5 linked regions of the Ovis aries genome follow. The main gene of each other region encodes a partner of the protein of the gene in region 4 in a complex. Links are inferred from orthologs where the notes say so. Each region holds a gene or a part of one and is shown on either strand. Other genes may lie near its edges.

Region 1 (4,261 bases), on a different chromosome or scaffold from region 4:
AACTGAGAATCAAGTAGCTAGGTACTCAACTTCCAGGGCAGATCATTTTTGCTTTTTTGGTGCGGAGGAAGGCTAATTAGGAAACATTTGAAAGTGAATAATAAAGTTTTCCCTTCTTCAGATATTATTTGTATTCATATTCTGAAAGTAACATAAACCCACGTTGGTTGCAAATGGGAAAAACAGGTATCTCAGAACTGATGAAATGATCCCTTTAAGTTTTTACTATTAGTCTTTATCACATTCTACCAAAAGGAAACAATTATGTGCAAAGGATACAAAAAAATATTGCTGTTACATAATTCCCATGTCTAGCCAAATCTCTCATTTATTAAAGATAGTGAAAAAGGGTATGAGTGGTGACCAAGAGTCTACATAAACTATATATACATGACCCATAAGCAGTTCTCAACAGGAGGCGATTTTTTGTTCCCATGAGACATGTGTCAACATCTGCGGTTGTCACAATGGCCAGGGGCAGGGGGAAGGGGCGGGGAGGGGGGGCGTGCACAAAGGGTGGGAGTAGGGGTGGGGGTGCTACTGGGCATTGAGTAGGCAAAGGGCAGGAATGCTGATAAACATTCTGCAATGCACAGGACAGTCTCTCATTTACAAGAAACTATCTATTCATATATCAGTAGTGTGGAGGTTGAGAAACTGGCTTAGAAAAAATCATCAGTGTATGGTTAGTCATTATTAATTACTAGGAATGTGAGAATGTATTCTTTAAAAAAAAAGTGTCATGAACTGAACAAAGGCAAACCATAGATTATTAAGGTGTACTAAGGCAGAAATGCCAGAAAAAAATAACTTCTGAATACCAATGAAGACTTCCTTTTGGGGTTTCTATACAAATTTTTCCCATTTAACTCTGCTATCATGGTATTCTGGGGAAAAAAAGCACTTTGCATTTATCGACTCTGACAAAACTACATTACTCTGATTAGAAAATACATAAATACATGTGTGTACACACACATGCATGCAAATATACACGTGTGCGTGTGTAACAGAAAATTTTCACTAGCCATCCATAAAAAGCTTAATTAATTACCATAAGGAGCTCTTCCAGCCAAGGGGTTTATTAATGGAGTTGGGTTACCACTTCCTTCCCTTCTGTTTCGGTCTGCTAATGCTGGAAAATCTGAAAGGTCCAATCCTGTCACATTTTCACTTCCATCTAAATAAGAAGAAACAAACTAGTTACTGCTCTACAAACATTTTAAAGAGATTATTACTAACTATAATAAAATTTGAAATGGCAGTGTCTTCTTCCTAAACAACGTACAGCACTGTACTTGGTATATGTAAATGTACAATGAATATTTGTGGATTGACTTCATGTGAAAGAATTTATGAACAACTCAGCAAAGCAGTATGTACCTACTACACAGTAACAAACCCAAATCCTAGAGACTTAAGACAGATAATAAGGAGTAAGGTGGTACATTATTTCCCCTGTGAAAGATGGTATTCAAGTTATAAGTTGCTGATTAGTAAGAGGGGAGGCTGTTGTGATAAAATTGTTCTTTTCACTGTATTCAAAAACAGAGGTTGTATCTGGAATGCTTGGGGCTTCATTTATAACACTGGTGTGATAATGACAGTGCCTCCTGCAAATGGTCTGAATCATATTTGAGGCACAAGCAATGGGAACAGAATCCCTAAGGATATTTTTGGTCTATTTGGCCTATTCCATATACAAATGTATATACATGCAAGTATGTGAGTATGTGTGTTTTGCAGTTGAGAGTATAAGTAGGGTGGAGAACATAGGATACATGTAGAGCTCTCATGTCTGGTGAGTGAATTGTATGAGAATATGACACAAAGCCCAGAAGTTTATATTACCTATTACACAGTAGGCGCTCAATAAATTGAATAAATAAAATATCTGTTTATTTTGAATTTTAAAATATCAGTTTCTTTCCTTTTAAAAACTAAAATTTAATCCAACATTTCTACTTTGCCTATTTTAATCATTACTTTGATCTCTTCTCAATGTATTAATTATTCTAATATTCTAACAATCTTATATTCTTAATTTTTGAAGAATTTATTTTCTATCTTACTGTTAGTATGCACTATAGTTTTACTTTGTCTCATCTAGTGTGTTTAACCAGTTTCAATTTATCTGCCCCCTCTTTCACTTTAATTTTTCTCTAATTTTCATAACTAGAAGGATCTCAGAGAGAAACAGCTCAAGATTACTCTGTTCATAGAAAACAGTTACATTCCAAGTCAGGTGACAATTTAAAATTATGAAGGGTAAAAGATAAAATAATTCAAACCCATTGCTTTTAAAGAAACTGCAGCTTATGAATTCTGAATTCTAAACAGGCATTATATAAAAAGGCAACAATACATAACAATAGCTTATACAGTACTTTAAAAAGTAATCTCTCTTGAATTACTTGGTTATGAATTCTAACTATAAACTTATAGTAAGCATTAACTTTTAATACACTTCTTCAGGTCCTCTAAAATGGAGTTTAAAATTGGCATATATTATTTAAAAATCACTAAAAATAGTATTAACTCACAAATTTTTATTTTTAGGGTGTAAGACTTGGAAACAACTTTCCTAGTATAAAATATACTTAGTTAAAAATGACTTCAAAAAATAACTGTAAAATTTACGGAAGTGTATAAACCATATTTCAGAAAATAAGATGGCACTGTGAGACACACTGTCACTTTACGGTTCATTTATGAGGGAAAGAAACTTCTCTAATTAAATTATGATCTGCATCCTAATTTCAGAGATATTTAAATATGAAAAAAACGTGCTTTTGAGAAACAACGGAATATGGTACTTCATATCAGAACACAAAACTTTTTTAAATGCAAAAAACTGAAATTCTTAAGTGTCACTTGGTCAATCCAGGCTGCTAGTAAACATACAATAATGTTGAAAAATTAAAAGCCAATAGCCAGAACTATCATTTCAATTGCTAATCTCATGCTTCCACATACACCCCGTTTCACTAATCATTCTTTCACCTTCCACTTCCTTTACTGTATTTCTCTCTCACAATCATACTCGTTTTTGCTCCTCTGACTATAACAACATCCTTCATTTGCTTTCTCAGGAAAGGGTCTGGAGGCAAGTGTGGAAGAAGATAAAACCTGAAGCAGAATAGTAACAAAGCCTCCCGTTCTCTTCTGTCTAAAGCCAGCTGATAAAAGAAACCAATAGACTGCAAAAATTCGTTACTGTCAAAATCAGAATTGGCTTTCTATGTACATAAATTTTGAATTTTACACATAAAACCAGATTAAAAATTTATGAGTTAAATGCAAAAATTAGTATTATTAAAACTATTAAGAAAAAATTGTAAGTGCTCCATATAGTTTTAAAGGTTTGTTCAATCTGGGTCTCTATAGCCAGAATGCCACAACGCTCAACCTAGTTCAGACCACAGTGAAAGGACTGAGGATAAGAAAAGCTCTTGAAGCAAAAAGATTCTGAGGCACAAATATAGACTAAGTTAACGTTCATGCTTTCTCCAGGTGTTAAGGAAACAAATCTGAGGTTATAACACTGCTATACCATGCCAAGTGAAAAAATATATTTAACCATCTTTTAACTACTGACTGAATTAAATCCTATTTCCTGTCAAATTCTCCCCTAAATTAAGTTCTATCATTTAAACACAAAAATTCCTTTAATTATTTTAAGACTAGTACGTTGAACTGCTTTATATTTCAAGATCTATCATATTTTTATAGGGTACTAGCTCCAGAATAAGCTTACCTGTTCCATTAAAAATGTTACTTGATAAGGAGTTATTCATTCCAAATGCCTGATTCCTGTTCATTCCAAATCCAGACATACTGGGTACATAGAAAATAATTTTAGATATACAGTAAGAACACTAACTTTCAGATGAAGAAAAACAAGTGTTTACTTTTGATCTCCTCATATAAAACAACATGTCTAAAAACAAAGACTAATTTTATTTTTGAGTTGAATATTTTTATTTAAAGGTTCCCTAAAATCCTTCCATGAACAACTGAGAACCAAAACGATCAGTTAAAAAACAAAAAGCAAAGAATTTATATGAAGCACAGATTAAGGGTGTCATTCTGTGTACTTGGCAAGTCAACTTACTGAATATACTGGAAGAAGTTACTAAACTCAAAAACAGGTGATTTAGTTTAAGACTATTCTTGAATATTTGCTTTTCTTTCACTACTGGTAAAATGTGCTATTATTACTTTTCATAAAAGATTTTCATTCATATAGTCTGCCTTTTCC
Region 2 (4,406 bases), about 23 Mb from region 4:
AGCCGGCCCTTAGGAACCCCAGAATGCCTCCCACCTCTCGTTCTCCCGCCCCTTAGTCCTACTACCGGCACAGGGATTTGGAGCCCAACTGGGCGGCGGGTGCCGGGCATCTCCCTTTTCCCCCCTTTTCCCGTAGTCCTCAAGCCTCTGTTTACAGGCGACCAAAACCCTGGTTACAGAGAGGAACCCGGGCGTCCGGGTCGAGCCTCCTCGTCACGGCTTCCAGGAAGCCCCCCTCCCCCGCCCCTTGCGAGTGAGTCACTGGCGAGAGGGAGGCTGCAACCGTGCCAGAGCCGCCCGCAGCCGCCCAGCTCACGGGACCGGCCGGGAAGGCCCCTCGGCCCGAGAAAGCGCCGCACCAGGGATTCCCCCGTGCTCTGTCGGACGAGCAGATCAGCGTGCCTAGCAGAATCTCCCCACCTCAATACAAGCCCGCAGTCCGCAGTCACAACCTGCAAGAATGAACTTTCCACCATAATAACTGCACTCCGTGGCAATGATTTATTTCTACCACCGTATTTTCAGTCAGGGCAGCCAGCTCTGGAGACCCCCTTTAAAAATTAGTGTTTTTACCATATCTTAAGAGAGCATCACTCAGGGCAACTCCTTTACAATAAAAGACTTGTCAATGAGGGGAGTGATTTCTGCAAACGCAGAGTTCTTTCAAGGCACATCCCTTTATGAGAGTCCCATCCGACCATCAGTTGGGGATGATCCATTTCTTCCATTTGAGACAGCTTTCCAGCAAAGAAACCCTCCATCATAATAAAAGATCTCCCCCTTTCCAATCTTGAGTTTTCTTGAGTGCAAACTCCCTTTAATATGATTTAAGGCCCTGGTATTAAGCTAATGCCATTCACTAACAATAACTTGGCCTCTTCATGCCTGGGTTTCCCTGTGTTTAAAATGGGCATAATACCTCCTTGGGTTAATGTATGTAAGACACTTTCTGCAATTGTGCCTAGCCCAGAGGAAGCCATCAGAAGCGCCATTATTTGTGTGAGGGTGAGAGGACACAGCGGTCCTGTATTTGGGAAATGAGGCCCCTTTCCAACCTCACCAGGTGTGTGGGACCCCACCTCACCCCCAATCCTCGTGAATGGGAGCAAAGAGGGCGGTCCAGGTCTCAGGATCTGGGCAGTTCGGGAGCAAGACCGTCCAGGATTGGGGAGGCTCTTCTCTCACTGTTTTGCTCCTGCGGATTTCTGTCTGTGGATGTTTGTTTCTTCCAGTTTTCGCCCCTTCTCTATTTGTACGACTCTCCCTCCCTCCCGCTTCTCGCTCTGAATTTGTCTCTTTGGGGACTGTCTACGTCTCTTTTCAAGCTCTGCCTTCCCACCTCCCCTCCTCTCCTCACCCTGTCTCCCCCGCTCTGTGCATGTCTCCCTGTGTGCGTAGCTCCCCCCGTGTGTGTGTGTGCCCCCATGTTTTTCTCTTTGCGTCCCTCCATTTCTCTCTTGCTCTCGGTTCGCCTCTCCCCGCCCCTGTCGATCAGTGTCGCGCGCGCACGCCCTCTCCGCCTCTGCCCTTGTCAATTCCCCCGGGAGCCCTGCCCCCACCTCCGTCCCGGTTCCCTTCTCCGCGCCTCAGTCTCCAGCCTTGAAAACTGGGCCGACACCCCCACCCCCCACCTCACGCACTCCCCGCGGGGTCGCGACCGCCCGCGGGCCCCGCTCAGGCGAATTCGGGCCGGGATCCAGGCGGAAGGGCTCCGAACTCGGGCCGGCAGTGCTGCGCTGGGGGCGCGCGTCCGGGAAGCGCCCCTCCTCGCCCCGCCCTCCCGGGGCCAACTCCCCTTGGCCCCGCCTCCCCTCTGGTCGAATAAAAGTGGCGGCTCTTCCACTCCACCGCAGCGTGACTTCAGCGCTCCCACTTTCCGTCGGCTCTACATCCTTCGGCCATCTGCGCCGCCATGGATCTCGCCGCCATCTACAAGGTGAGCCCCCCAACCGATCGGCACCCCGACGTCCGCAACACCTGACTCCCTTCTCAAACCAGGGCTTTCTAGGGCCGCAAACAAATTCCTGCCCCGGACCAGCCCTCCCCGCACCGGTTTCCCTTCTCAAACTGGAACTCCTTAGCGCTTCACACCGGCCCGGGGTTCCTGCCTCCCGGATCAGATCAGTGTGATCCTCTGGGGATGAAAATGGAGCCTGTGGCTTTCTGATCTCGGCCCCAACACGAGTGGGGTGGCCCTCGGAGATGGAAAGCTGGAGAACTTTTCTCAGACCGGGGCTGTCTGGAGGCGGAAATGGCCCCCACACCTGGATTACCCGAGTAGTTGCTGAGGGCGCGGTTTTGCGCGGAGGCGTTTCTGGGGCTGGAGTCTCAGGGTGAGCGGGAGCTGACTTCTGTCTCTTCGCTCCCTGCCCCAGAGGATCTTGGAATTCTAAACCCGAAGAGATCCGGACTCCTGGCTTAATTTTGCCCGCTGTTCCACTTGTGAAATTGGAGAAACCGATGAGTGGGGTCAGATCCCGAGAGGCCCAGAGGCTTAAAAAATTGGAGAACAGCAGTCTGTCCTGACTTTAGGGCCCCTCTGATCCAGCCGGGGGAGCCGAGATTAGTGGGTCCCTCGGGATGAGCTTAAATCGCGAATAAACCTCCAAATCGGGATCCCTGAGATCCGGAACCCGAGGTTTGTTTTTTTTTTTTTTTTCCCTTAGGGCGGGTGGGGCTGAGGCCGGGAGCCCACAAACCGGACTGGCAAGCCCTTGGTTGCCCTGCAGCTGGGGCGGGGCGTCACCCTGTATTTTCGGTGTCTTAACCGATCGTTGTTTCCACAGAGCCTCCTGTCGCTGAGCCCTGAACTGCCATCCGACCTCGGAGAGACTGAGTCCAGCACCAGCTGGGCTTCCTCGGGACCCTGGAGCCTCAGCTCATCCGACTCCAGCCTGCCTGAGGCCGCTGCCCGCCTGCCTGGCCGCTCCACCAGCCTGGTGGAGGGTCGCAGCTGCGGCTGGGTGCCCCCACCCCCAGGCTTTGCGCCCCTGGCTCCTCGACCCAGCTCGGAGCTGTCGCCCTCACCCACCTCGCCTACCGCGACTCCCACCACCTCATCCCGCTACAAGACTGAACTATGTCGGACCTTCTCAGAAAGCGGGCGCTGCCGCTATGGGGCCAAGTGCCAGTTTGCCCATGGCCTGGGTGAGCTGCGCCAGCCCAGTCGCCACCCCAAGTATAAGACGGAGCTCTGCCACAAGTTCTACCTCCAGGGTCGCTGCCCCTACGGTTCGCGCTGCCACTTCATCCACAACCCCAGCGAGGACCTGGCTGCCCCCGGCCATCCCCATGTGCTGCGCCAGAGCATCAGTTTCTCAGGGCTGCCCTCGGGCCGCCGAACCTCGCCACCACCAGCAAGCTTAGCAGGCCCTTCCGTGCCCTCATGGTCCTTCTCGCCCTCCAGCTCCCCACCACCGCCACCCGGGGACCTTCCACTTTCACCCTCTGCTTTCTCTGCTGCCCCCGGGACACCTGTGTCCCGAAGGGACCCCACCCCAGCCTGTTGCCCTTCCTGCCGAAGGGCCACCCCCAACAGCGTCTGGGGGCCTGTGGGTGGCCTAGCTCGGAGCCCTTCTGCACACTCCCTGGGATCTGATCCCGACGAATATGCCAGCAGCGGCAGCAGCCTGGGGGGATCCGACTCACCTGTCTTTGAGGCTGGGGTTTTTGGGCCACCTCAGCCACCTGCCGCCCCTCGGCGACTTCCCATCTTCAATCGTATCTCCGTTTCGGAGTGACAAGTGCCTGCCTAGTACAGATCAGCTGGATCTTAAGGGGGGCCATTTTTCTTGTGCGTGGGTTCCACAAGGGGTCCCGGGGCTGTAGGGAACTGAGGGACTCGTAATCATGTAGTTCTCCCCACCTTCCAAAGTGCATTAACTCACTCCCCTGACCCCCGCGCTGGGGCAGGTCCTCAGCGTGCAGGCTGTTTGGGAAGGAGTGTTTTATGGGGTCTTTTAAAAAAAATGTAGCAAGTTTGAGGGAGGTAGTAAGCCTCTTCAACTTCACCCCTGCCCAATGCTGTGAATAATAAGCCCCCAATGCCCTCTTCCAGTTACTTCCTAGATCCTGGGGCTCCAGTGTCGTGATTGGAGCCTCACCTGAAAGGGAATCCTGGTGCTCAAACTTCCCTCCAAAAGCAAGTAGCCAAAGCCATTGCCAACGCCCGGCTCTCCCACCCCCGCCTTTGGGCCCTTTATTTATGACGACTTTATTTATTCTAATAGATTTTATAGTATTTATATATATTGGGTCGTCTGCTTCCCTTGTATTTTTCTTCCTCTTTTTGTAATATTGGAAACGATGAAATAATTATTGTTATAAGTATACACTATAATATATTAAGTAATATATATTGTTAAAAATTTATTTTTGTGGTTTTCTGGAATTTTTAAATAAATCTG
Region 3 (4,509 bases), on a different chromosome or scaffold from region 4:
ATAGCTCTTGTTATAGTTCTTGACCAAGAAATGAATGGTTTGCCTGTGTGCCCCCGCCCCCTTCTCCCACCCTTTGACCAAAAAAGCTCATAGCTATCATGGCAGCTTCTTAGACTTTAAAAGAAGTGTTCAAATGAAGCAAATAGGCTGTGGAGGGAGGTAGTTAAATATGAAGGCAGCCTAATTTTTAATAACCTAGCTAAGCTCTCCTGGAACCTCTAAAGACTAAATTTGTTGCTGTTATTTTCAGATAGTGATTTTTGTACATTTTAGATGACTTCATGTTAATTTCCATTTTTACCTTCTGTGTCTGTTCTGATGGTACATACGGTGTGGTAGGTTAAAGTAGAAGTCAAGCACCTTTGCCCAAGATGAGATTTAATCTCATGGATGAAAATCACTGGTGGGATTCCAGAATGGTTGTTCTAATGAGAATGGGAACACAATAGGGGGAGGCTGTGTTCCATGTCTTACCCCACCTACCCCCAGTCAGTTCCTTTAATTGTTACTTATACTGGTTTGACTTCTATGATGGTTTAAAGCTGACACAGTCCAGAGTGGAACCTTCCTGAACACCAGTTGTTCCATTAGCTCAGAGGATTCCATCTTACATTTAGTGTGAGAGGCAACAGCTGGAATGAGATTTCCACTATTTAGAGACCCTGAAATCGAGCAATTCAGAGTGAATGAATACTGCACCCTTTTGATCTTAAGTACGACATATTTTTGAAGAACTGGAATAGGAAGGGGCATAAAGAAAAAGCCAAGTAGTAGAGTTAAAGGCAAGGTTAATGAATTCATATACTGTTACTGTATAAATACACAATTTTTTTTAAACAGCACCATTTTCAAGTGTATACACAATATGATTATAACTTGGCACTATTTTTAAAGGGGGAAAACGGTAGTTGCTCGTTCAGTAATAAAAAGATCTGGTACATACATGAGCTGTATTCTACCTGCTACCTACAAATTGTACATTTTATACATCTCCAGCTAGGACAAAAACAAGCCACAAGGAGGGAACACCCACCCAAACTACTGTAAAGTATACCAAGTCTTCACTTAATGCTGCTACCAGGCAGGGCTTCACCTGGAATTATAACTGGGTAAGGACAACAGAAATATTACTTGTTTCAAACAATAAAATAGTCATTTTGCTGACACTCCATAAAATCGCCAGTTTTAAGTTCAGTTGAGAGGCTTTTAAAAAAATATTCTAGACCTAGTAAAGTGCCTCCACTCATAAAATTAAACATCCAAGATTAGATTGAGACAATTTCATACTGATGCGCATCTAAAATAGGTCGACGTATAAACAAACCACAGCGCCTCTAAGTTGCCACATTTCAGTTAGTACCCAGCCTTCACCGTCTGGATGTGCACAAACTAGAAACAATCAAAGATTTTAACGTCTAGTCTCAACCGCTCTTCGACAGGAAAATACTCAGTACCGTTGGCTTCCTCTGGAAAAGCCAAGACGAGCTCCACGCTCCCCCGGCAGCGAGGGAGAAATGGTGCGCAGACCAAACACGAGAGTGGGCGGGCGTCTACCCTGGTGGCATCATGGGGCAGCAGCAGATGGGGATCCGGGCCCTTAGCGCAGCTTCTTGCCGGGCAGGCCGTCCCGGGCGCTGCGCGGCGGCGGGCGGGCTGCAGGCGGAGGCGGCACTTTGGAAAGCGGGCAGTACTTGATGGTGTGCGCGTTGTCGCCGCTGGCACCGCACAGGGGACACGTGTACCGGCGCAACACGGGGCACAGCACCCGCCCGTCGGGTCCCTTCAGGATGTGGGTGGTGTAGAGCGCCACCGCCTCCTTGTTGTTCCGGCAAAACACACACACCTGCAGCTCGGGTTTGAGCAGCCGGGTGGCGGCCGCCCCGTTGGCGGCGTGCAGCTTGGGCTCGGCCGCCCACGCTGGGGCCCGCTCCTCTCGCGGCGCTGCTTCGGCGGTGGCCGCGGCGGCCGCGGGTGCGCAGCCCAGAAGCACGGCAGCGGCGCGACCAGCGAACGGGCTCAGCTCAGCGAAACGCTCCTCCAGCAGCCCGGCCTCGGCAGGGTCCGCGCACAGCTCCAGCGCGCGCAGCTCCAGCGCGCCCCCCAGGTAGCGGCTCCGCGACCCCTGGTCGTCGCTGTCGTCGTCGTCGTCCTCGTCGTAGTCGGGCGGCCCCAGCGCGGGCCCCAGCGCCCCGGACCCGGCCCCCGCGTGGGGGGAGCAGCACGACGAGGAGGAAGAAGAGGGCGGGGAGCCGTCTCCGCCGCCGTCCCCGCCGCGGGCGCAGCCGAAGCGCCGCTCGCCGTCCACCGCCTTGGTGATGAGCGTGGCGAGTCCCAGATAGTCGTTCCACGAGCTGAAGGGCTGCGGGTGCGCCGGGCCCTGGGTGCTCACGTAGCGGGCGCTGGGCACAAGCGCCATGGGCGGGGGGGCGCGGCCGCGGCGGGGCGAGCGGGGCGCCCAGGGGAAAGCCTCCATGGGCGGGGTGCGGGCCGCGCGCGCCGCCTCCCCGCCGCCGGCGCGGGCCGGACGGAAGGGACGAGCCGAGCCTGCCCGCCGGCCTGCCTCGGGGTGGGACTGCCTCGCCGCCTTTTATCGGGCCCCGCTCCTCCCCGCCCCGCGGCCTCTCCGCCGCGGCCCTGCCCCCTGCCCTCCCCCGCCCGGGCCACCTCGCCCGCGCCCGGGACGGAGGCGGAGCGGAGGCGGACGCGCGGGGGGCGGGCGGGCAGTGAGCGCGCGCTGCTCCGGCAGGCAAGGCTCCAGCACCCCACGCGCTGCGCCCGCCTCGCCAGCTGCCGGGCAGCTTTCATTCTGGGAGGGGGCGGACAGGCACCGCCTCGGGCCGCTGCGCTAATTGGCTGCTGACCAGAGCCCCCTGCGCCACGGGCGCCGCTCCGGACGGTGATTGGTGAATCCGGGGGAGGGGGCGTGCCCTACCGAGAAGCTGGGAGGGGAGGGGGATGTAGGGGAGGGGCGGCTGCTGGGGCCCGCCTTCGCCTGTTCCCCTGGTTTGGAACAGGTGACCAGTCCTGGCTCTCTCTCAGCCTGGGGGTGAGACCCACCTCCCAAGCTTTTAGTGCCCTGGGCCAGCCTCTGTCTTCTGAGAAACCCCTTCTCCTCTCTCCTTCTCATCAGCATCAGCAAGGAAAGATGTGGGGAGGCAAGACTTGGTGCGAGCTAACGATGCAGTTTTTAAGTGGGAGCCGCCCAGCAATCAAGTAACTTCCTTTTGCACAGCGTTTTGGAGAGCTTTCAACTGAGTGGAATCTTCTCACAAACCTCAGGGAGCTTCAGAGAGGTTTTAGTTCTTACCTCGTAAGTAGTGGAAGGACACATAACTTTCCCACAGCAGCACTGTAGCACCTCCCAACAGGTGTTCCGAGACCAGGTGGTGGCCAGTAGCTGGTGACAGACAGGTAGGGGTGAGGGCCTTAGGACAATGATCAGTGTGTGTGTTTCTAAGTGTGTGTAGCTCCTCACTCCCCGTTGCCCCTGGGGTGAGGTGACCGTATTGACATATGAGGTGTTTGTGCAATTGAAATAACAAAGCGTATTCAGGGGCCACTTCAGCGTCACCATTTAATACTTTGAAATGAATACTGTACTTTTGTAAAAACGGTGGAAAATAAATCAGAAGACTTTAGGTGGCTACGAGATGGTCATGCCCTTCCCAGGAGAAGGAGCAACAAGGTTTTTTAAAATATGGAAAGTAGGAAAAGTATTAGGTGGGAGGAGGGTTCCTGTAGGGTGCTGAGGGGCGGGGACAATGCCTCCTCTAAGCTGGCAGGTAGGGTTTTCCTTCCTCTCTCTGGAGGAGCTCTGTCTGTTGAAACAAGGGTTGGGAGACTGGTGTTGGCAGCTGTCATTAGTGGGTGGGTCTGGGTACGTCCCAGCAGGTGTAGAGTGGCCCCATAGGGATGCCCAGAACCTAGTGCTGGCTCGGGTTAACAGGGGAATGAATGAATGAGTCCCAATGCTCACAGTGAAGGGGATCTTTGGTATCATTCAGTCCGATCTTAACTTTACAGATGAAGAAAATGAGACCCAGAGAAGAGAAGGCTTCTTTACAACACACAGTGAATTTGTCACACTGCCAGAGTGAGGACTCAGGCCTCTTCATGACTGGCTTGGTGGCCTTCCCTCTACACCGTGAATCTGGAAGCTATTTCAGACTTTGAGACTGTCTGTGCGAGCATCAGCAGAAATCAAGTGTAGCACATGGGGGTACGGAGGAAGAGAAGCGAGATGGGGGCTTGTGCCTTTGGTATGGACCCCTGCCCTCAGGCATGATCCAGGGACCACGCAGCAGGGACAGGGAAGGTCTTGAGGCAGTAACGTGGTGCCTGTCCCGGCCACCTGTCTACATGCCGGGGTGGAAGTTATATTTTTCAGCCTCTTCCTCACCTCCTACTCCCTGATGGTTGATTTAAGTCCCCAAACCAGGCAGTGATATTCAGCACTTGCCAAGCTGGTTCCTTTTCCAAGTTTGTGTTGGCACTCAAGTTGAAAAGCTA
Region 4 (4,261 bases):
CTGTCCACGTTATCACTACAATATTTTGTTGTGTTCAGTGACATTTTTACCTTCAAACGTCTTTACATTTAAAAAAAAGTAAAAAAATTTACAAAACTAAATTTTACAGAAGGTAAAAAATATAAAATACATCATATTGATGTGAAATACCACCACGTATCACGTATGGTCCCAGAGCAAAGTATTTTAAAACTGAAAATTTTAGCTAAGTTTGAAGCAGCGACCCAACTGCAAATCTATTTTGAAGAGCTAAATTCAATTCAAATAAAGACTACCGCTATGATTTTTAAGTCCTTCCCAGACAGCAGGCATACTAAGGAGTATAAGAAGACTGCAGTGCTCTGTTGTGATCTTTAGCATTATCTTTGGAAAACAACTGAGATTACTTTCTGGAATACACTGTAATATTGCTTACCCACTTCGAGAAGACCTAATCCATTTCATCAATTCTCTACTTTTAACTTTCTTAAGGGAGACAGAACCAACACTCCAGTGTCTTGCATACACTCATACATTCATTTCCTACATAATACCTTTTATGGCTATTAGTTTAAATTTATACTTTTGTCTAAAAGAAAGAATCTTTTGATCCAAATCATGTGGAGATTTTCATATCCCAACAATCCCTGCTATCAAATGACAAAGGCTGAATTTAGTTATGTTCCTTAACTCCATACAGCAACAGCAGAATGGCACAAAGTCAGCTGTGCAATAGAAAGGAGCCAGGAATTCTTTTGCACTACAGCGTAACCAAGAATAGGGAAAATTCCTATTCACAGGTTTAAATATAGTGCTGGTTCCTAAGCCAATATCCCAAGTTATTCAGCCAAGAATGCTTTCAGCTATATGCTGGTTCACACTGTTTTCTTTAAAAATTATTCCTCCTAAAAAAATACTTAAGATATTATAGAACAAGCATTAGCCCATTAGGAAACGTTTGGCCTTAAAAGAAACTGAGAATCTTAAACGGCTATTTTACAACATTCAAGAATCTTGAGGTATCTGGCATTTAAGACATAAATGATGGTATGGTATAGAATGACGAAAATGAGTATGTCTGTAAGACTAAATTCTTCATGAAAACTTAGTTCTGTATTTGAAACAATGCCTAAAGCAACCTACATAAATACTGTAACAAGTACAACATACAGGAGAAAACAATATCCCCTAATTCCACCTGTGCAATCAAATATTTCCAAACTAAAAACAGTAGTAAAAAGAAATACAAAGGTTTGACAGAAAACAAAATTCTGTAAAGCAATTATCCTTCAATTAAAAAATAAATTAAAAAAGAAACACCAGAACACTTACTTTGATGTTTCTATAGGTCTCATTCAGAACCATCTTATTAAATTCAGGATTTTTCAGCGTGTCAAGGAAGTTAGAATACAGGCTGTGAAAGTTTGGCTCAATACTGACTCTCTTCATAACCAGGTATTGTGAAACCCAAGGCATAAATTCTTCCTTCACAGTTTCCTTTAGTTCTTCAACCTAGCCAACCATTACAACATAGGAAGTATTCAATTAAGAGGATAAAATACAGTTTTATGTTTCATTTCTGTGAACACAACTACAGTGCATGGCTCCTTGCAAAATTAGATGCTAAAGCAACATGCTACATCTCCCCAATTTTACACAGTTGCTATCAAGTACAGTATATTCAAGTCCATGTAAGTATAGAGTCAATCATCTGGGTAATTATAACTGAAACATCTATGATCACTTTAAGCTTTAAAGCTGAAAAATATGTAGTCCTTCATCCCCATCTTACTTACTCTCCATTTTAACAAAAGAAGATAAATTACTAATCTACAACCTGTTATTAACAAACCTGATGCCAGAACTATGTTTTTCTACATTTCTATCTCTAGGAATTATTTGTAAAGTTTGAAACTCTTCTTCCAAAAACCATGCAAAATGCTTCAAAAATTTCCCCTAATCAATTATGGTGAGATTCTCAAAGACAGTACTTGCATTATAAATTACATTTCAAACCCTTTTCTTTAGGCTAATTAGTATTGATGAAAACAGACATTTCCAAGTATTATCTTAGCATATAATCTTGTAAGACAAGCATCAATTCTTTTCAAAAGCTGTTAATGATCTCTGGGAGGATATGAATTGGGACTACAAATACAAATGAAATTCCCATCATGAAATCATTTTCAAGCTTACTTCAAAAAGCCTGTAACTCACTGGAAAACAATACTATTTGGGACTTCCCTAGAAGTTCAGTGATTAAGAGGTTCGATCCCTGGTCAGGGAACTAAGATCTCACATGTCATGCCATGTGGCATAAATAAATAAAATCAGTGCTATTTAACATCTACAGAATCTACAACCACTAGTTGTATATCCAAGTTCCCTTCATTTTGATTCTATTATCTCCACCTTTAAAGATTAAAAAGGATAGAGAATATCAAATATGAGTCCCCCAATCCATCAAGAAAAACAACAGAGAACATTTGTAGTGATATATAAACTATTACTTCAGACTCACCTTTTGTGTCATATTTGACTGGGAGAGGTTGTTGAAGATAAAAGCAATTTTCTCCTGGATATTTTCTGGGGGCTCTACGATTCTCTCAGTTTGATCTGTGGCCACAAGCAATGTATCTATATTTGTTGTATTAATAGAAGGCTAAAGAAATAAAATACATAAAATTAACAAACTGAAATCCTTACTAGACAAATCCTAGGGGTGGGGTATTTACACAGATTCCTTTAGTATATAGAATACATATGGTATGTACAACTGTGCACTTGAAGTGCTGGCAAGAACATGTACTGAACTATTCATGGGGGCTGCATGTGGGAAATCGGGGTGGTAAAGGGAGAAATGCTGATCTTTCATGCTTTTTTAATAGGCATGTGTTATTTATAATAAAGTACATGCTCACTACTGGATATATTGCAACGCAACAACAAATACAACAAAGAAAGTAGACCTACTTACTGGCACATCTTTCTTAAAGCTGACTCCAGTTGGCCTGGTGACTGTAACCGTTTTAGCAACAGTGGTGGTTGTTGAGGTGGTTACCATAGTGCTAACCTGGCCAGCAAGGGGAGCTTTTGCTGGAACCTGGGCCTGGGCCTGGGCTTGAGCCAATGCAATACTTCCAGGGGTTGTGATAGAGCCCTGCATTTTCACCGGAGGATCTCTAGATTGCTGTCCATACTCAATATACTATAGGGGTAGAGAGAGAAAAACACATTAAATAAGAATTCTTAACAGAAACTGAAATACTTGAATTAAACTCCCCTCACTTCTGAGAGACTGGAAATCATTTCAGAGCACTCTTCTGGTTTATCTATCTCCCTTATATCTTGCCCCATTCTGGTGCATATCCCCATATGTGTAATATGTAAGTGGATACCACAAAATTCTGAAGAAATAAAGCTAAAATGTTACTATGCTTAAGTATTTATAAGAGAACCAGTTAACAAAACAAGTTTTAAAAAGGTAGCCACAAATGCTTGCCTATAAATTTCCTTAAATTCCTTTACATAAGTAAACTTAAAGGTTCTAAAATTTATATAATAAACTGATTTCTATTGGATGCTAATGAAAAAAAACCACAGCCTAAAAAACACTGCAGTGTGAGTTCCCTCTCTGTAAAGCTAATAGCACAAAACAAGAACAATTTATACCACCTAGCCAACTGAAGGGTAAGCAATGTTCTAGGATAAGTTTCATCCCTCTCCTCCACATTTCCCAGTCCAAAAAAATTCCTTCTCCCACACAAATTACAAGACTGACACAGCCTTCCTGATACTATTACCAACAGCTTGTTCCCAACCAAAAACTAGTACCTATGTATATATACCTAACTTTATTAAAAAAAGGAGACATTTTCAAGAAGGAAAAATACAGCCCTTTAAACTGAAATATAAAGAATGACTTCTCTCCTCTTCTCTGGGTAATAAATGTGTTAAAGTGGGAACTCAGGATCACTGTTAGTGTGATCATTTTCGTACCATCTCCCTTATTCTCCCTCTGTAGTCTTTCAAGGTCCCAGATCTGAATTTCATGCTCATCTGATTGTAGCAGCCTGTGACTTCCCATCCAAGCTTTTCAAACTCTTTCTTGTCTAGTTTTCAGTGCCATAATTTTGGCATAGCCCTCCAAAACCCCTCAATAGGCATGAATATACTCCTGCCCCCCATGCTATAGTTTCCGAGGCTAAACCATCATAAGGATACTCTGCACTCCTACAAACAAACCCAGTGGAATGAGGTAGAAAGTGCTGGATTAAACTAC
Region 5 (4,764 bases), on a different chromosome or scaffold from region 4:
TGAAGAGTTGAGCTTTTGATTTCACTTTGTGCTTTCAGAAAAGCATTATGTATGCCCTTATGAATTTGAACCAAAGAAGTTAAACCTGAAGAAACTACACTTTCTTTTTCCCCCTAAGTTTTTGCCCTTTAAAAACAATAACTAAAGCAGTCAAGGGACATAAATACGTCTACATGTCAAAATCTTCTGTTCAAAAAACAGCCAAGAAAACCTTTAGCTATCTTACTTAAGTCTGACTACTACAGAAATGTTACATTTTAAAATATAACTCTTTCAAAAGTATGTCTCAACTTGAAGTAGCAGTTTAATTAAAAAAAAAAAAAAAAACAACCCAACACCCCACAAAAAGGAAATTGTTATTCAGTCACAAAGTCTCACTCAACTGTCTGCGACCCCACGGACCCCATGGACTGCAGCATGCCAGGCTTCCCTGTCCTTGACTACCTCCCAGAGTTTGCACAAACTCATGTCCATTGAATCGGTGACGCTATCCAACCATCTCACCCTCTGTCGCCCCCCCACCTCCTGCCCTCAATCTTTCCCAGCATTAGGGTCTTTTCCAATGAGGAAATTACCTGTGCTTTAAAAAAACACACACAAATCTGTGAAAGAATAAAGACATTACTAACTTTTTAATCAAACTTTCTAGGACACCCAGAGTACTGATTAAGTTATTTTAAAAAATTATTCCCCAAATAAAATTATGTTTTTTTAAAAGTAAGACCTTAATTTCACAACTGCGGGTGGGAGGGAATAAAGGCCTACTCTGGTGTGTTAACACCTTTATATTTCTTACCGAAAATACAGTAGCTAATTAATTACTGTTCCTTCTGCCATACACCAAAGCTTCTCAAACAATACAAATTTTAAATTCTTTGATGTCTTTTTTTTAATTGAAAATAAAGTTGCTCAAAAGCAAATCCTTATTATCACATACACAAAGCTGTATATTTTGAAGTCATGCAGAAACTGACTGACCTCTTAAGCAGGGTAGTTAACAGCCACCTAATTTCAGTTCAAGGTAGTAGGTGGTTTCCTGTATTGACAAGTTTATATATGATCAGCGATATCACCTATTTCACACCTGAAGATTACTTATTTGCAAAGCACTAAGAGGATGAAGAGGGCAACTTCTAAAGATTAAATGGTAATATTACTGTCCATCATGCACATAAGACCTCGTATCTCCCTAGAGCCAAAATGTGACTATGTGAGAACTGCTCCCCTCTTAATTAAGCTGCACTGCAGCTTTACGTCTCAGGAAAAGAAATATTCCTCCTACCCATTCCCAATTTAGATTTCCAAGTTGTATTTCTACATTTTCAAAAATACGAACGAAACAGAGACTAGTTGGGAGGGAACCCTAGCTGAGTTAATTACAGCACTTCCCAGACCGTAGTTAGCGATTGACAGTTTCACACCCAAAACAGTCTCGTCATCTCCAAAAAGACCTTTTGTTTGCAAATGCAGCGCAGTTTCTCTAAGCTCGGTCTGCCAGTTGGAGTGACTGTTCTATTTTGAAGGGGCAAGGGGACTGAGAAAGAAAAAGGGGAGTGAGTGATAAAGGAAAGAAGCTAATGATTTTGATTTGCAAGCAAATAACTTCTTGTTTCCCTCCCCTTCATATCCCCCTCCAAAACCCCTACACACTTCAAGTCAGCTCCCTGGGCCCATAAACACAAAAGGGTTGGGGCCCTGCAATCGCATCTGCGCAACCAGAGCAGAGAACCAGCTCCCCAGCTAGGAAACAATAGGGATTCCCCCAAAAGAGAAACCTTTAAGTCCGACAGCCCCTTCTTTCCTCCGACATTCGGAGGCTCCATAATCACCCCGTTATCGACCTGCAAGGCCTTACTCCGTCAAGCAGTCGGTCCTCTTCCAAACTGAGCCCTCCGCTACAGCATATCCCTGCCGCCCCCTATAGGGCCGCCTCGTACCCTATAACCTCCACCATCTCCCTAAGTCCTTGCCGCCCCCTACGGTCCCACCCTCCCTCGTCACCCACAAAGCTCCTCTGAGGAATTCTCCCGCTCTTCCTCCGGACCCCGCCGGGCACAACACTGCTCTATGCTACTCCTCCCGGCGTCCCCACCCCACAGCTGGCGCCCGCCGCCCGCCTTCCTCCCCAAGGCCCGGCCAGGCCTCAGGCCTCCGCCTCAGAGCGCCCCCCACGCCAGCCTGGGGGCTTCCTGCAGCCCCTGCGACACGGCAGACCGCCACCCCTCCACCTCACCCCTCTCCCCGCGGCTCAGGCCCGAGTCCTACCACCGAGGCCACTCCCGCTCGGCACCCTCGGTCCTTTATTGTTGACTCGAAGCTCCCAAAATGGCGGCGGCTCCTTCCTCCTCGGAAACCTCCGCCCGCCCCCACCCGGCCCCTCGCTTCGGCCTCCTCCCGCCCCCGCCCCGCCCCCGCTCGGGGGGCCGCTCAGGCCGGCCTGCCTTCGCCCGCCCGCTCGCTTCCCCGGCCGGCCAGCCCTACCTCCGCCGCTGCCCGCTCTCAAGGCGCCGCCGAAGCCGCCGCCCGGACTGAGCTAACTCGGCTCCCCCGCCCCCTCCGTCGCCGACTGCCCCCCCACCCGTTCTCCGCATGGCGGCCGCCGCGGCTCCTCCTCCGCGCAAGATGGCGAGCGCCCAGCTGCCGCTGCTGCACCCGTCGCGGCTCCTCGGCCTCCGTTGCTTCGCGTCAGGAGAAATCCGGGCCGAGGAGCCTTCCTCAGGAGAAAATGGAGGGCAGTGTTTTTCCACCGACGGGGAGTCTGCGGGGGCTGAAATGGAGGGGAAGTTGAAAGGGAAATATGGATCCCTTCAAAGAGAAAGGAGAACTGCCTTTTCCACAGCTAAGGAGAAATGATCCGGGAATGGTGGGTGGGAAGAGTACCCCCCCCCCCCAAAGTGGAAGTCGAGGGCTTGGGACCCGAGGAGGATCTGCTTATTCCTGACCAAGGACCCGGTAGCGATTCGGGGACGAGACAGCTGACCTGACATCTCTCGCGGGCCAGGGAGGCTGCTGCAGGTCCAAGGGGGCCGCGTCCGAGCCCCTGCGGGGCGCGCCTCCATCCAGGAACGCGCGGAACCAGTGGTCCGGAGGCGCCAGCACGCACCCGGGTGTGGGGACAGGAAGGGGGACCTGCCGGGACGGGTGCAGCAGGGAGAACCCCGGGGAGAGCGCGGGGCGGGGGCCAGGGGGCGCTGTGCGCGGGCGGGCGGGGGCAGGGGTGGAGAAGGCTGTGGGAAAGTTGGGCGAGGGTGGGGTGCTGGGTAGCTGGGGTGCGACCGGGGCAGGAACCCAGAAAGCGAGCCTCGGAGAGGGAAGTGGGAGACTAGAGCAGCGATCCCCGCTTTCTCAGCACTAAAGGGCAATCCTCAAAGAGAGGGAACCAGGGAGGCCGAGCCTCCCCAGAAGGAAGGAAACGCTGCTAGAGTCAGTTATGATGGGAATAGGAGTTCTGTACGGAAATGAACTAGAAGACCAAGCGTAATTCTTTCCCCAGCCCGACCCTCATCAGAAAGATATTTATGTATTTGTTCCCATAATTACTTTTCATATTCTAATGTCTCCGTTTATCCTTAACCGAAATAACAGGAATGCAATCTTGTTCCAGGTAAAACAAAAATCGGAAGCTAGCAAGTTGGCTAGGTTAAAGGAATAATAAAAACCTGGGTCTCACTCTCAACTGAGAGACAATATACCAGGCAATGACCAGACCATAGGTTGACAACAGAACTCCGACCCACAACCTCTGCTGCAACCAACACGCGAAGCCAAACCACAACCTCTGCAGTGATCAGCTCAGAATGAGCCAGATTCGGTCATTGACTGCCAGCTTCCCTACTTTTTGCCTGTGTTTCCAACTCTGGACCAATTAGAGAAAGCCAAATATGTTCCCCTAAACCAATCACGTTAGACTCCCCGCTTCTAGTTAGCCCGCCTCCAGCTTTCCCCGAGTTAACCTCCAATCAGAGCAAACCCTGAAGCCTTCACCCATCCCCATCCGCCCCTTTATTTTTAACTGTCGGCGTTTGAGTCCCCAGCTAAGTGAAGGTGGCTGGCTCTCACTGTAGCAAGCTTTGAGTAAATAACTTGTTCTCATTGGTGGTCATTTTTATTTCCACACAGCCGAAAAAGAGGTGTTAAAGAAATGTTAAAAGGCTGTTCTTGAGATTTTTTTTTTAACGGACCTTTAACAGTTTTTTTTTTTTTTTTAATTCTGAATTTGTAACATGTGGTCGCCCACCCAGCTTTTAAAAAACCCACTCATTTAAAGGAAATAACCAGCATCTTGTGTCCACACCGGAGAGAGAATGGCTAAGTGGTTGTTTAATAAAATGTTGAGGTCTGAGGCCCCACTGTCTTGCCATGTAGCAGGAATGTGAAGTGGAGGAGGACAAGAAGTGAGTAGGAGGGAGAGGAGCCTAGGGATTTAAAACAGGCCACAGCCTACTCCGGTCTCTTTCCCTAGACCTCTCAAAAAATGAGACCAGCCAAAGGAAAGGGGTTTGTATTCCCACATAAATTTCTTACCTTCAAAGGGGCCCTGGCTCAGGTCATGATGAAAACCAAAGGGTAGAAGGCAACCAAGAGTAGAACATGAAATAGCTGCCTGTTCTCACCTAGGAATCCTGCCAGGGCTAACACCTTTAAAGATTCTGCATGATGTTTTTATAAGATCTCCTTCCATCTGAGTTATTTATGTCAGCCCTTTTCAGTTCTCTGTGAGAAGCATGGATGGTATAGAATTAAATTATGAAACCTTAGATCTTT

Evidence for each region.
Region 1: the proteins of CNOT1 (region 4) and CNOT2 are in contact, whole or in part, in a crystal structure (PDB 5FU7), measured with the Homo sapiens proteins. The link is inferred for Ovis aries from reciprocal best matches to the Homo sapiens genes CNOT1 and CNOT2. Residues at the interface, in NP_057368.3 of Homo sapiens: His1864, Ser1865, Ala1866, Ala1867, Arg1870, Asp1871, Gln1917, Pro1921, Ala1923, Pro1925, Ala2003, Tyr2036, Leu2039, Glu2040, Ser2043, Arg2045, Ile2048, Ala2049, Ala2053, His2054, Leu2079, Leu2084, Lys2086, Gln2089, Ile2090, Leu2091, Tyr2092, Lys2093, Gly2094, Leu2096; in NP_001186231.1 of Homo sapiens: Met350, Val351, Asp353, Gln354, Phe355, Gly356, Met357, Ile358, Gly359, Leu360, Leu361, Phe363, Ile364, Arg365, Gly372, Met373, Val374, Leu376, Ala377, Leu378, Gly379, Ser380, Asp381, Leu382, Leu385, Leu387, Asn388, Leu389, Ser391, Glu393.
Region 2: the proteins of CNOT1 (region 4) and ZFP36 are in contact, whole or in part, in a crystal structure (PDB 4J8S), measured with the Homo sapiens proteins. The link is inferred for Ovis aries from reciprocal best matches to the Homo sapiens genes CNOT1 and ZFP36. Residues at the interface, in NP_057368.3 of Homo sapiens: Gln821, Glu835, Asp845, Ala848, Asn849, Phe852, Gln853, Tyr856, Asn894, Glu897, Glu898, Phe901, Gln904, Tyr905, Pro906, Glu909; in NP_003398.3 of Homo sapiens: Arg314, Arg315, Leu316, Pro317, Ile318, Phe319, Arg321, Ile322, Ser323, Val324, Ser325.
Region 3: the proteins of CNOT1 (region 4) and NANOS1 are in contact, whole or in part, in a crystal structure (PDB 4CQO), measured with the Homo sapiens proteins. The link is inferred for Ovis aries from reciprocal best matches to the Homo sapiens genes CNOT1 and NANOS1. Residues at the interface, in NP_057368.3 of Homo sapiens: Ile2327, Ile2330, Lys2331, Trp2338, Glu2350, Phe2353, Gln2354, Val2356, Ala2357, Met2361; in NP_955631.1 of Homo sapiens: Phe40, Ser41, Ser42, Trp43, Tyr46, Leu47, Leu49, Thr51.
Region 5: the proteins of CNOT1 (region 4) and DDX6 are in contact, whole or in part, in a crystal structure (PDB 4CRW), measured with the Homo sapiens proteins. The link is inferred for Ovis aries from reciprocal best matches to the Homo sapiens genes CNOT1 and DDX6. Residues at the interface, in NP_057368.3 of Homo sapiens: Glu1097, Ala1100, Phe1101, Phe1103, Asn1104, Asn1105, Leu1106, Ser1107, Ser1109, Asn1110, Lys1114, Lys1137, Arg1138, Ile1141, Glu1142, Asn1144, Phe1145, Leu1148, Tyr1149; in NP_001244120.1 of Homo sapiens: Phe329, Ser330, Arg331, Leu332, Gln333, Ile334, Asn335, Gln336, Leu357, Gly358, Tyr359, Ser360, Leu384, Arg386, Asn387, Ala402.

Annotation. Positions count from the first base shown.
Region 1 is NC_056056.1:149,447,289-149,451,549, forward strand, and holds part of CNOT2 (CCR4-NOT transcription complex subunit 2), read right to left. Parts: intron 3,838-4,261; coding exon 3,758-3,837; intron 1,181-3,757; coding exon 1,055-1,180; intron 1-1,054. UniProt on the Homo sapiens protein: Component of the CCR4-NOT complex which is one of the major cellular mRNA deadenylases and is linked to various cellular processes including bulk mRNA degradation, miRNA-mediated repression, translational repression during translational initiation and general transcription regulation.
Region 2 is NC_056067.1:48,456,977-48,461,382, forward strand, and holds ZFP36 (mRNA decay activator protein ZFP36), read left to right. Parts: upstream 1-1,912; coding exon 1,913-1,936; intron 1,937-2,786; coding exon 2,787-3,740; downstream 3,741-4,406. UniProt on the Homo sapiens protein: Zinc-finger RNA-binding protein that destabilizes several cytoplasmic AU-rich element (ARE)-containing mRNA transcripts by promoting their poly(A) tail removal or deadenylation, and hence provide a mechanism for attenuating protein synthesis.
Region 3 is NC_056075.1:38,762,938-38,767,446, reverse strand, and holds NANOS1 (nanos homolog 1), read right to left. Parts: upstream 2,564-4,509; 5' UTR 2,474-2,563; coding exon 1,598-2,473; 3' UTR 772-1,597; downstream 1-771. UniProt on the Homo sapiens protein: May act as a translational repressor which regulates translation of specific mRNAs by forming a complex with PUM2 that associates with the 3'-UTR of mRNA targets. Capable of interfering with the proadhesive and anti-invasive functions of E-cadherin.
Region 4 is NC_056067.1:25,913,706-25,917,966, forward strand, and holds part of CNOT1 (CCR4-NOT transcription complex subunit 1), read right to left. Parts: intron 3,188-4,261; coding exon 2,957-3,187; intron 2,642-2,956; coding exon 2,501-2,641; intron 1,492-2,500; coding exon 1,312-1,491; intron 796-1,311; exon of another isoform or gene 657-795; intron 1-656.
Region 5 is NC_056068.1:29,126,192-29,130,955, forward strand, and holds the start of DDX6 (probable ATP-dependent RNA helicase DDX6), read right to left. Parts: upstream 3,184-4,764; 5' UTR 2,981-3,183; intron 2,768-2,980; 5' UTR 2,579-2,767; intron 2,550-2,578; exon of another isoform or gene 2,482-2,549; intron 2,328-2,481; exon of another isoform or gene 2,234-2,327; intron 1-2,233.